2 linked regions of the Alligator mississippiensis genome follow. The protein of the gene in region 2 interacts with the protein of the main gene of each other region in a biochemical or structural test. Links are inferred from orthologs where the notes say so. Each region holds a gene or a part of one and is shown on either strand. Other genes may lie near its edges.

Region 1 (4,331 bases), on a different chromosome or scaffold from region 2:
TACCTCCCACCAGCAGCAGAAAAACCACCCAGACTACAGCAGTTTGGGATAGCTCTGAGGGGCAGCAGGCATCTTGATAGCATTTGCAGATATGAGAAAAAAGCAACGTACACCAAATTCACACCTGGCTCTCCTCACAGCCAGGAAGGGCTGAATCATTTTCATCTACAAAATAAAAGCCAAGAACATTCCCATCTCTCCCTTATTCCCCTCCCATCCCAACACACAGAACACATTGTGCAGGACTGAGGTCTATCTTTCCCGTGGACACACAAGGGAGATCTCCTTTTTTCATCATCACTGATGCATACACCAGAGGTCATTCTGTGTCCCTTTGTATTACAGGCCAGTGAGATAGTCTGACAGCCTCTCTCCCTGGAACACTCCCTCTTTAAGGAAGCTATTTTCCCCCTCCGTTTACAGAAGTAGCTGCTTTACACCACATGGTCAAGTCTACCCTCTAGTTCTCCTATTGATCTTGTTACTGTCCTTTACGTTTAAATGCTCAGTGCCACAGTCGGCAAGATGCAATTGATAACACCAAAAGTTACTCACACACACCCATCCACCTCCCAAGCTCTTTAAAGCAAGACAGCATGGAATAGGAGACAAATTAAGTAACTACTATGAAAGTCACCAGATGCAGTTCCTGAGATCTACAGGCAAATTACAGATGATATTGAAGGTTTATCAGGTCTCAAGATAAAATGGATTACCAGAACATCAAGCTGAGCTGTCAAAGAATATTAGGGCTGTAAGTACACTCTTAATGATGTAGTAATCTTTAAATAGATTTATGGACAGCAAATTCTATAGCAGCACTAACTGCCATGAAATTATTAGAATTTAGAAGACTTCAACTGAACTTCTTCACAAGTTTCTAACCAGAATTAAATGTACTTTGTCAACAAGGATCTAACAATCTGCTTTTCTACACCTTCCTCTCACCTATGAAAATACTTTGTTTCAAACCTCAAGTTGTCTTTTGTTTAGGGAGCTGTAAAAGCTCTTCACAGACAATTAAACACCCTGTGAAATAAGTAACTGTCCATTTAAGATGAGGCAAAGCAAGGTAGAGCCAAGAACAGAACCTGTCTCATGGTTCCCAGTCTTCATTTTAGTCAAAAGACCTTCCTTCCTCTCCCAATAAGCACCTCACAGTAGCACCTGGAAAACAAGCAGAAAGGCTGCAGCAAAGACTTTATGACAATGTAGAATCAAAAACACACAAAAGATTGTTTCTTTTCACAGCTAGCCCAAAATCCAATACCAAAAACCTAGTGGTCACTTATTAACTTAATTAGATACGGGAAGGTTCTCAGTCAAATATGGGAAGCCTGCATTAGACAAGATACCTTCAGCTTGTGCTTAGCAATTTTTTCTCCCCAAACTTGGGGAATGAATAAGGAAGACAGAATGAAACTGACACTGAAAGATCGATCACAAGTCTTTCGGGACTCCTCAGAAAACACAACAGTGGCATAGCGTGAAGTTCTTCTGCAAGACAAGTGTGGAGTATCGGAACTTGATATTCAGAAACAAACTATCAAGATTATAAAATAAATAAATACATAAGCCTGCACTCCCACCGCAACTTAAAGAAGGAATGATTTAAACAAGTATTGGGGAAGAAGTGGCTCCCCATGGAAATCCAGGGCACGAGCATTGTGTCCAGAGCATCAGGAGGCTCAGCTATACGACAAGACTCAGCCTCCCACCCTACCCTGCCCTCTCACAGCCGCAGCAGGAAAGAAACGTGCTTCCCAAGAAACATTTACTCAAGGCCAGACACAGGCATCAGCAAACCGGGCAGCTGCCCAGGGCCCAGACAGAAGGGAGGCTTGAAAGTGGTGAAAATAATCATTATCATCATTATTATCTGTGGCAAAGGGGAGCCCAATACTAAAAATTTGCCCAGAGCCGCCAGGAGTCTAGGCACGGTGCTGCACTTACTACAAATGCCTAGTCCGGCCGCGCTCTCAGCCAGGTCCGTAAGCCCACAAGATGGGGTGGGGGTGCACCCCGAGGCTCCCATTAAAGCCCTCGCAGGCCGGGAAGGGAGCCCACAGCGCTGGCGGCCACAGAAGCAAGTTTGAGGACAAGCAGCAACTTCACGCCCCGGGCGCGAGCGAGGGACACGAGGGGCACGGACACGCGCGGGGATCCTGGCAGCCAGGAGAGCAGAGCCCGCGCCAGGACCCCCGAGGGATCCTGACGAGGCCAGGCCGGCACGGGGCACCCCGGCGGGGACCGCATCACCCCCCGGGGCCCTGGCAGCAGCTCTGGGGTAGGCGCCCTCCGGGGTCGGGGAGCGTGGGGGAGGAGGGGGTGCAGCCGGGGGCGCCAGAGAGAAGGGGGCCGTGCGGGGTCGCAGGGCGGGCGGCCCCGGCCCCGAGGGGGGACAGCGCCCCGGGCCCTAACGGGAGATCTCCCCTCCACCCCCGCCCCGGCTCCTCCACACACGCACAAGCTACTCGAGCGCCCGGGCCGGGCTCTCCAGGACGACTCCGGTGCCTCAGGCCCCCGGGGTCGGGGCGCCTCCCGGCCCGGCCCCCCACAGGCAGCGCCCCCTGAAGCGGACGGGAAGAGACACGGTCCAATTCACTCACCCTCCGCGGCTCCCAGCGATACTCCAGCTTGCCTTCCCCCCTCCCTCCCTGCCTCTGCATCACTTCCGGGGATGAGGAGTCAGCTGGCGGCGCGCGGCGGTGTGACGCCGGGGAGCGTGCAGACGTCCCTGACGCCACACGTACAGCGAGGGCAGGAAAAGGGCAGACAACCACCGCCGGCTGTGGTAGGGGGAACCGGGCTTGGCCGGGCCGAACCACTGCTCAAGGAAGGGGGGGAACGTGAAAGAGGGTTACATCGCGCTTGATCCTGGAGGTAAAGTGGGAGAAGGGAAGGAGAGACACCCAGTGGGTGCTGAGCAGCAGTGAGAAAGGGCAAAATGAGAGATGGGGGGGACGCGCGGGAACACTCCCCCTCCCCATCCGCGCACGTTGGTAGCGGCCCGCCCGGGAGAGCCTTTCGCTAGGCTGCCCGGGCATCTGGCGCGTGGGGCTGGACATGCGCAGAGTGGGCGCTCGACGTCGCCAGGCCCCCACGGTCGGGCTCGGTTGGGTCTGCTTGTAGCTCCCCGCTCACGGCACGAAAAGCCATGGGGGGCGGCGGGCAGACAACCGTGGAGACACCGACTTGCCGTGTTTAGACTGAACCAAAGTGAAATCCACGTGGCCTTTTCCTGTGACCCTGTCCGAAACAAAACACCGCCCCTGCCCTGCAACACGTAAGTGGGTTCGTGCTCTGCTACCGGGTCCCGGCCCTCCGCCAAGTACAAGCAGTAACAAGCCCGAGGCGGAATCGATTCAGTCTGCACAACTTAGACTGTGTACGCGGCACCGATAAGCAACTGAACAGACGTTAACTGTTGACTCTGGGAACGCCTGCAGTGGCCGGGCGGGGGCGGGGGGGCACTGCAGCGCACCGCCCGGGAGCAGACCGCGCTGAGCCTGCCCACCCTGAGACGGGGAACTGGCTTGCAAGGTATGCTGGGGTCAGTGTTGCCAGATGTAGCGTAATTATCGTATTTGTACAATACTTTCAACCCTTGTAAGACAGATAATACTAAAAATGTTCAAAAGTCTATCACAATTGAGGCAGTTAATTGAGGCAGCATGTGCAAAACCCGGGTCACTCTCAGGGGGTCTTAACCAGCTTAAGAGTCTGGGTTACCAGAGTGTGGAACGTGCTCCCAAGGGAGGCGGTGCTCTCCCCTACCCCGGGGGGCTTTAAGAGGAGACTGGACAAGTACCTGGCTGGGGTCATCTGACCCGGGGGCAAGGGGGCGGACTCGATGATCTTCCCTTCCGACCCTACAAATCTATGAAATCTATTGAACTTTCGGGTTCGCTGTCCGTGCTTTCTTCCAACCACTTGCCTCAAAACAAAGAAACACTTCAAGGTTGATGATGACCCAGTTCTCACTGGTTTTGAATTGGGATTTGACAGGGACTAAAGTGAGGATGAGCAATACTTGCTATTTATCTTTAACTGGAGACTTATGGTGGGTAACTGTATAACGACCATATAACTAAATCTCAATGTGTGATAATACTAAGAGCTTTATTTTAAATGTTACATACAGTCTTAAATCAATAGGAAATTAAAGGGGTTTTGTGCTCGCCTTGTTCGTAAATTGCAGGCGTGTACCCAATACAGTAAGTTGCAAAATAAAGTGTAGAAGATTTACAATACACAGACCTAAACTGCAAAACAAAGAGAAAAGAATAATCATAGTAATACATTCAGTTTAACCAGTCATAGAAAGAGTT
Region 2 (4,331 bases):
CTTGTCTAATTTAAGCTCTGATACAAGAGTCTGACGTAGAGTTGAAAAGAAAAAGTTCTAAAAAGGTGAACTAAGTGTAAACCAAAGCAAAAGTTTCTTCCAATGACTAGAAGAAACTGGCTCCAGAGCCAGGAAGACAGGTACCACTGTTCAGAAGGTTACCAAGTATCAAGTATTAGGAATTAGGAGGTCTGTGGGAAATTGCTGCTCCTTCTATGGAGGAGCAAAACAACTCAGCAAAGTAAGCTTTTATCACACCCCAGAGGATTTATCTAGGATTTTCTTGTCTTTGTTTGTTTTGTTTTTGAAGTGACACAAAATAGGAAAGAGGTAACAAGCAATTTAGAGGGACAAGAAGGGACAAAGACTGACAATAAAACCAGAGAAGACTGTATCACCATTATGCCTACATGACACATAAAAATAGCCCTATTATGCTGAACAAACACTGCACACACAAGAATAGTCCTGTCTGGAGACTATGCAAGACAGGGGTGAGCAAAATGCAGCCCGTGGTCCAGATGCATCCCGCCAGGCACTTCTATCCGGCCTGTGGGACCCCTAAAAAATTTAGAAAATTAATATTTATCTGCCCCGGCTGCCTGTCATGCGGCCCTTGATGTCTTGTCAAAACTCAGTAAGCGATCCTCCACCCAGAATAATTGCCTGCCCCTGATGTAAGATGTACTAAACAAAAGGTGGAAATAAGTAGTTAATCTTCTGAAGATAGGAAGCAACTCTGCCTAGAAATGCAAGATCAGAAAGACATACAAAACAGGGAAACACCTAGTAACAGAGAATTTTAAAGAAGTGGATACCTCCTGTACAAGACTGAAGGAACACACAACCAATCTCCTAAGAATTGTGGATTGCTTAACAGTCCAATGGAGAAACATCCAACTACATAATTATAATTTTATAGCTATAATTAAGGTTTTGATCCTAAAACGGATCGTGCAGTCCTGTGCAGAAACTCTCTGGACTCAGTGGGGAATCCGTGCAGGTGGATTTATGCAAATGAAATTGTAAACCTATGTATTTAATTACCTTTTTAAATTGTAAAACTCTCCTACTGTTTGTAAGTAATAATATTATATGTTTGCTTGGTTTTGGTTTTTTTTTAAACAAACTCAGGGTAACTAACTGAATGAAACTAAGTTTCTCCAGTTCAGGAATCAAAAAGTCTTCTTTTTACACAAGCATAAATCCAGATCGAAGAGTAAAATCAATAACATCCATGGCCTCCATATGATCGCAGAAGGCAGAGTAGAGATGCACTCTATTGGCTAACCAAATCAGAGATGCATGAACTTTCTTGAGCATAAACTAACTTTACTACTACCTCTCTACATATTCATATCATGTCACAACTTGGCAGTGACATCAAGGTGCTTTACGAGGTTCTATAAAACAGGAATAAAGCTTGTGTTAGTATTAATTGTTGTTTTTAATCAAGAAATAGAAATGATCCATTAGTACTTAGAAACATTCTAACCATTGCATTTCTACTACAAGCATTAATAGTGTCAAAGAAAAATAGCTTCAGGAATCCAGGAATACTGTATTTTCTACATGACAGTAACACGAGGTGCCAAAAGAGGGACACAAGTTGCAAGTAATTAGAGGAAGAATTTTGTAAGTATACTAGCCAATTGCCCCTCTTAGGTTTTTATAATATTAGAATATTCCAAAAAAGGTTAATTCTAATAAAAATATATACAAACATGTACTTTAGTAAAGCTAGTCTTTTACAACAAATAAAAAGGAGTTAATAAATCATCTCTATGTAACATAGTTACACTAGAAAACTTGGGGATGCTTTCAGATAAGGCTTAAACAGAAATCTTGGCTCTGTCTACAAGCTCACTAAGGATCCCTAACACAGCAGTTCCCAAACTGTGGGTTGCGACTCTAAATTGGGACCCCGGGGGTGGGGGCTGTGGGTTGGGAGCAAGAGGCCATGCATGGGGTCATGCTGAGGAAAAACAAGTTCGGGAAGCCCTGCCTCAGCACTTATTGTACAAGCATGGTCCACTGAAGTGTTCCCGGTCGGCTCTACCCGCTCCCGTGGCCGGGCAGGAGGCGGAGGATTGTGGCTGCCACCCACCCTCTCTGGGTACATCTAAACCAGACGGTGCCACAAGACGCCAACCTGAGACGGCCCCTTTTCTGGTCGTGCCCAAGGTCAGCAAAGCTGCAGGCCTGCGCCTTGGCTCAAGTGCTTCACAGGCTCCGGAGCGGGAAGCAGGAGTCCAAACAAAACTTCCCGACTAGGCCCGAGGCGCGGAGATGCGGCGCAGCGGCCTCCCCTACCGGGAAAGCGGCATCCGGCGTCGCCCGGGCTGCTCCTCCCGTAGGCGGGAGCCCCGCTCCGAGGCACCCGCCACTCCCAGGCGAAAGCGAAAGTGGCCGGGCCTGGCCGGGCGGAGCCGGGGGTCCCCGCGCAGGCCCCTCCGCCGGCAGCAGGGGCGCAAGTGCGAAGGCCGCCGGCCCCGCCGCTGCCGGTCCCTGCCCCGCTCCCTCCTCACCGCGCTGCCATCACCGGCCGCTGCCCCGCGCCCGCCCGGCTCCACGCATTCCCGTCCCCGCGGCTACCGGAGCCGCTACTCACCGCCCGCCGGGCTCCCCCCGACAGCGGCCGGGGCGAGAGGGAACGGGCCGGGCGAGGACTCGCCCCCCCCCGCGCAGAGAGGGGCTTAGTACAGGCCGCACTACGGCGAGCGCGGAGGGCCCAAATTCATCCCGACTTCCGTTGCCGCAAAATAAATAAATAATTCCTCTTCCTGTAGGCCGGCGTCACGGGGCAGAGCCGCGGCCGCCTGCACATGCGCAGCACCGCCACCCCGCGGACGCGTAGGTCATGCAGGCCCTCCACCCTGCGTATGCGCCGCTGGTCTCCGTGTCGTGGTCTGCGCCTGCGCGAGTCCTGCTAGTAGCTGCTGGGTCGGTGTTGTGGGGTGGGCTGTCATTTCAGCCCGTGGCTGGCACGCGATGGGTAGCGGTAGAAGTGTTCAAGACGCATCATAATTTTGTAGGTATCCAGGTTGTAGTCGTATTGATCTACAGGAAAAGGCAATCAGGATTTGTAGTAGAGATGATATCTTTTATTAGACCAACAAGGTGTTTGCAAAAAATTAAAGATTTTTTTTTTTTTGCAAAAATCTCGTTGGTCTAATACAAGATACCATCTCTACTACGAGTCCTGATTGTCATAATTTTTGAGGCAGCTAGCTCACTGATGCAGCATATGCAAAACCCAAATCACTCCTCTCAGGGGGCTTAGCTGACTTTGGGGATTGCTGCTAGCACTTCCTTATGACCGGTTGCCTTGAAATAAAGAAATGCTTCAACTTTGACCCACTTTTCACTCATGCGCTGGGACTTGTAGTGAGCAATATAAAGTAAATAAAAAGGCATATTTGCATATTTTCATAGTTTTTCAGCAAATACAGTCATTTTGAGCTTCCAATACAATTATTAAATATTTAAGACCTGGCAACACTGGGCTTAGTTCATCTGGGATTAGCCGGCCTGGTGCCACAGTGGCCTGGGATACAGTGCTCATGTCACTGCTCCAGCTGGGACATAGGAAGAAACCCCCTCAGCAGGTAAATGCGGGCTAGGAGTTGCCCAGCTAGGGCTGATCCCCACTAGAAGCAACTGGCAGGCACCTGCCATCCACCCCATGGGCATTTGCCATACACGCACCAGCATGGTCAGCCCAACACCCAACCTGCCACAGCCATATGCCAAGGGCACTTGAAGGCAGGATGGTGTCTCTTACCAGCATCTGCATCCACCTCTGCTGCCCATCCCCTCGGTTCACACTGCAAGCAACTCCCCCAATGCCTTGCCTTTCTAGACCAGGCATGTTTCCAGCTCCTGTGAGCTAAGGACTGAGACAGAAAATAAAACAAGCTTGCAGTTTGCACATAGGTGAAGAATCTAGGTTCATGCCCCCTGCACCCTTATGAAAGAAAAAAACCCATGTGCAATTAAACTAGACCCTTAGCTTCACATTTCCACAGGATTCGGAATATTTTGTTGTCCAGGGAATTCTCACAGCTTCATACCACCCACCACCCCCACCAGGGACTCCTCTCTCTCCCTACTCTTCATATGTTGCAAACTCTTCCCAGAATCAGAGTAAGTGGGGCTGGAAGGGACCTCCAGAGGTTACCTAGTCCAGCCCCCAGCCTAAGGCAGGATCATCCCTATCCAAACCATGCCATACAACCCATCATCTAAACTTTCCATCAGTCTACCATCAACCCTGAAACAACACACTCCTAACACCCTAGCTTGCAACAGGTAAAGCAGGGGAACCACAG

The links.
Region 1: of the proteins of CUL2 (region 2) and DCUN1D3, one has a biochemical effect on the other in vitro, tested with the Homo sapiens proteins (2 studies listed by BioGRID, with this or other methods). The link is inferred for Alligator mississippiensis from reciprocal best matches to the Homo sapiens genes CUL2 and DCUN1D3.

What each region holds. Positions count from the first base shown.
Region 1 is NC_081836.1:46,087,818-46,092,148, forward strand, and holds the start of DCUN1D3 (DCN1-like protein 3), read right to left. Parts: upstream 2,700-4,331; 5' UTR 2,610-2,699; intron 2,566-2,609; exon of another isoform or gene 2,468-2,565; intron 1,549-2,467; exon of another isoform or gene 1,092-1,548; intron 1-1,091. UniProt on the Homo sapiens protein: Contributes to the neddylation of all cullins by transferring NEDD8 from N-terminally acetylated NEDD8-conjugating E2s enzyme to different cullin C-terminal domain-RBX complexes and may play a role in the cell cycle progression by regulating the SCF ubiquitin E3 ligase complex, after UV damage.
Region 2 is NC_081828.1:195,034,591-195,038,921, forward strand, and holds the start of CUL2 (cullin-2), read right to left. Parts: upstream 2,760-4,331; 5' UTR 2,612-2,759; intron 2,332-2,611; exon of another isoform or gene 2,314-2,331; intron 2,236-2,313; exon of another isoform or gene 2,153-2,235; intron 1-2,152.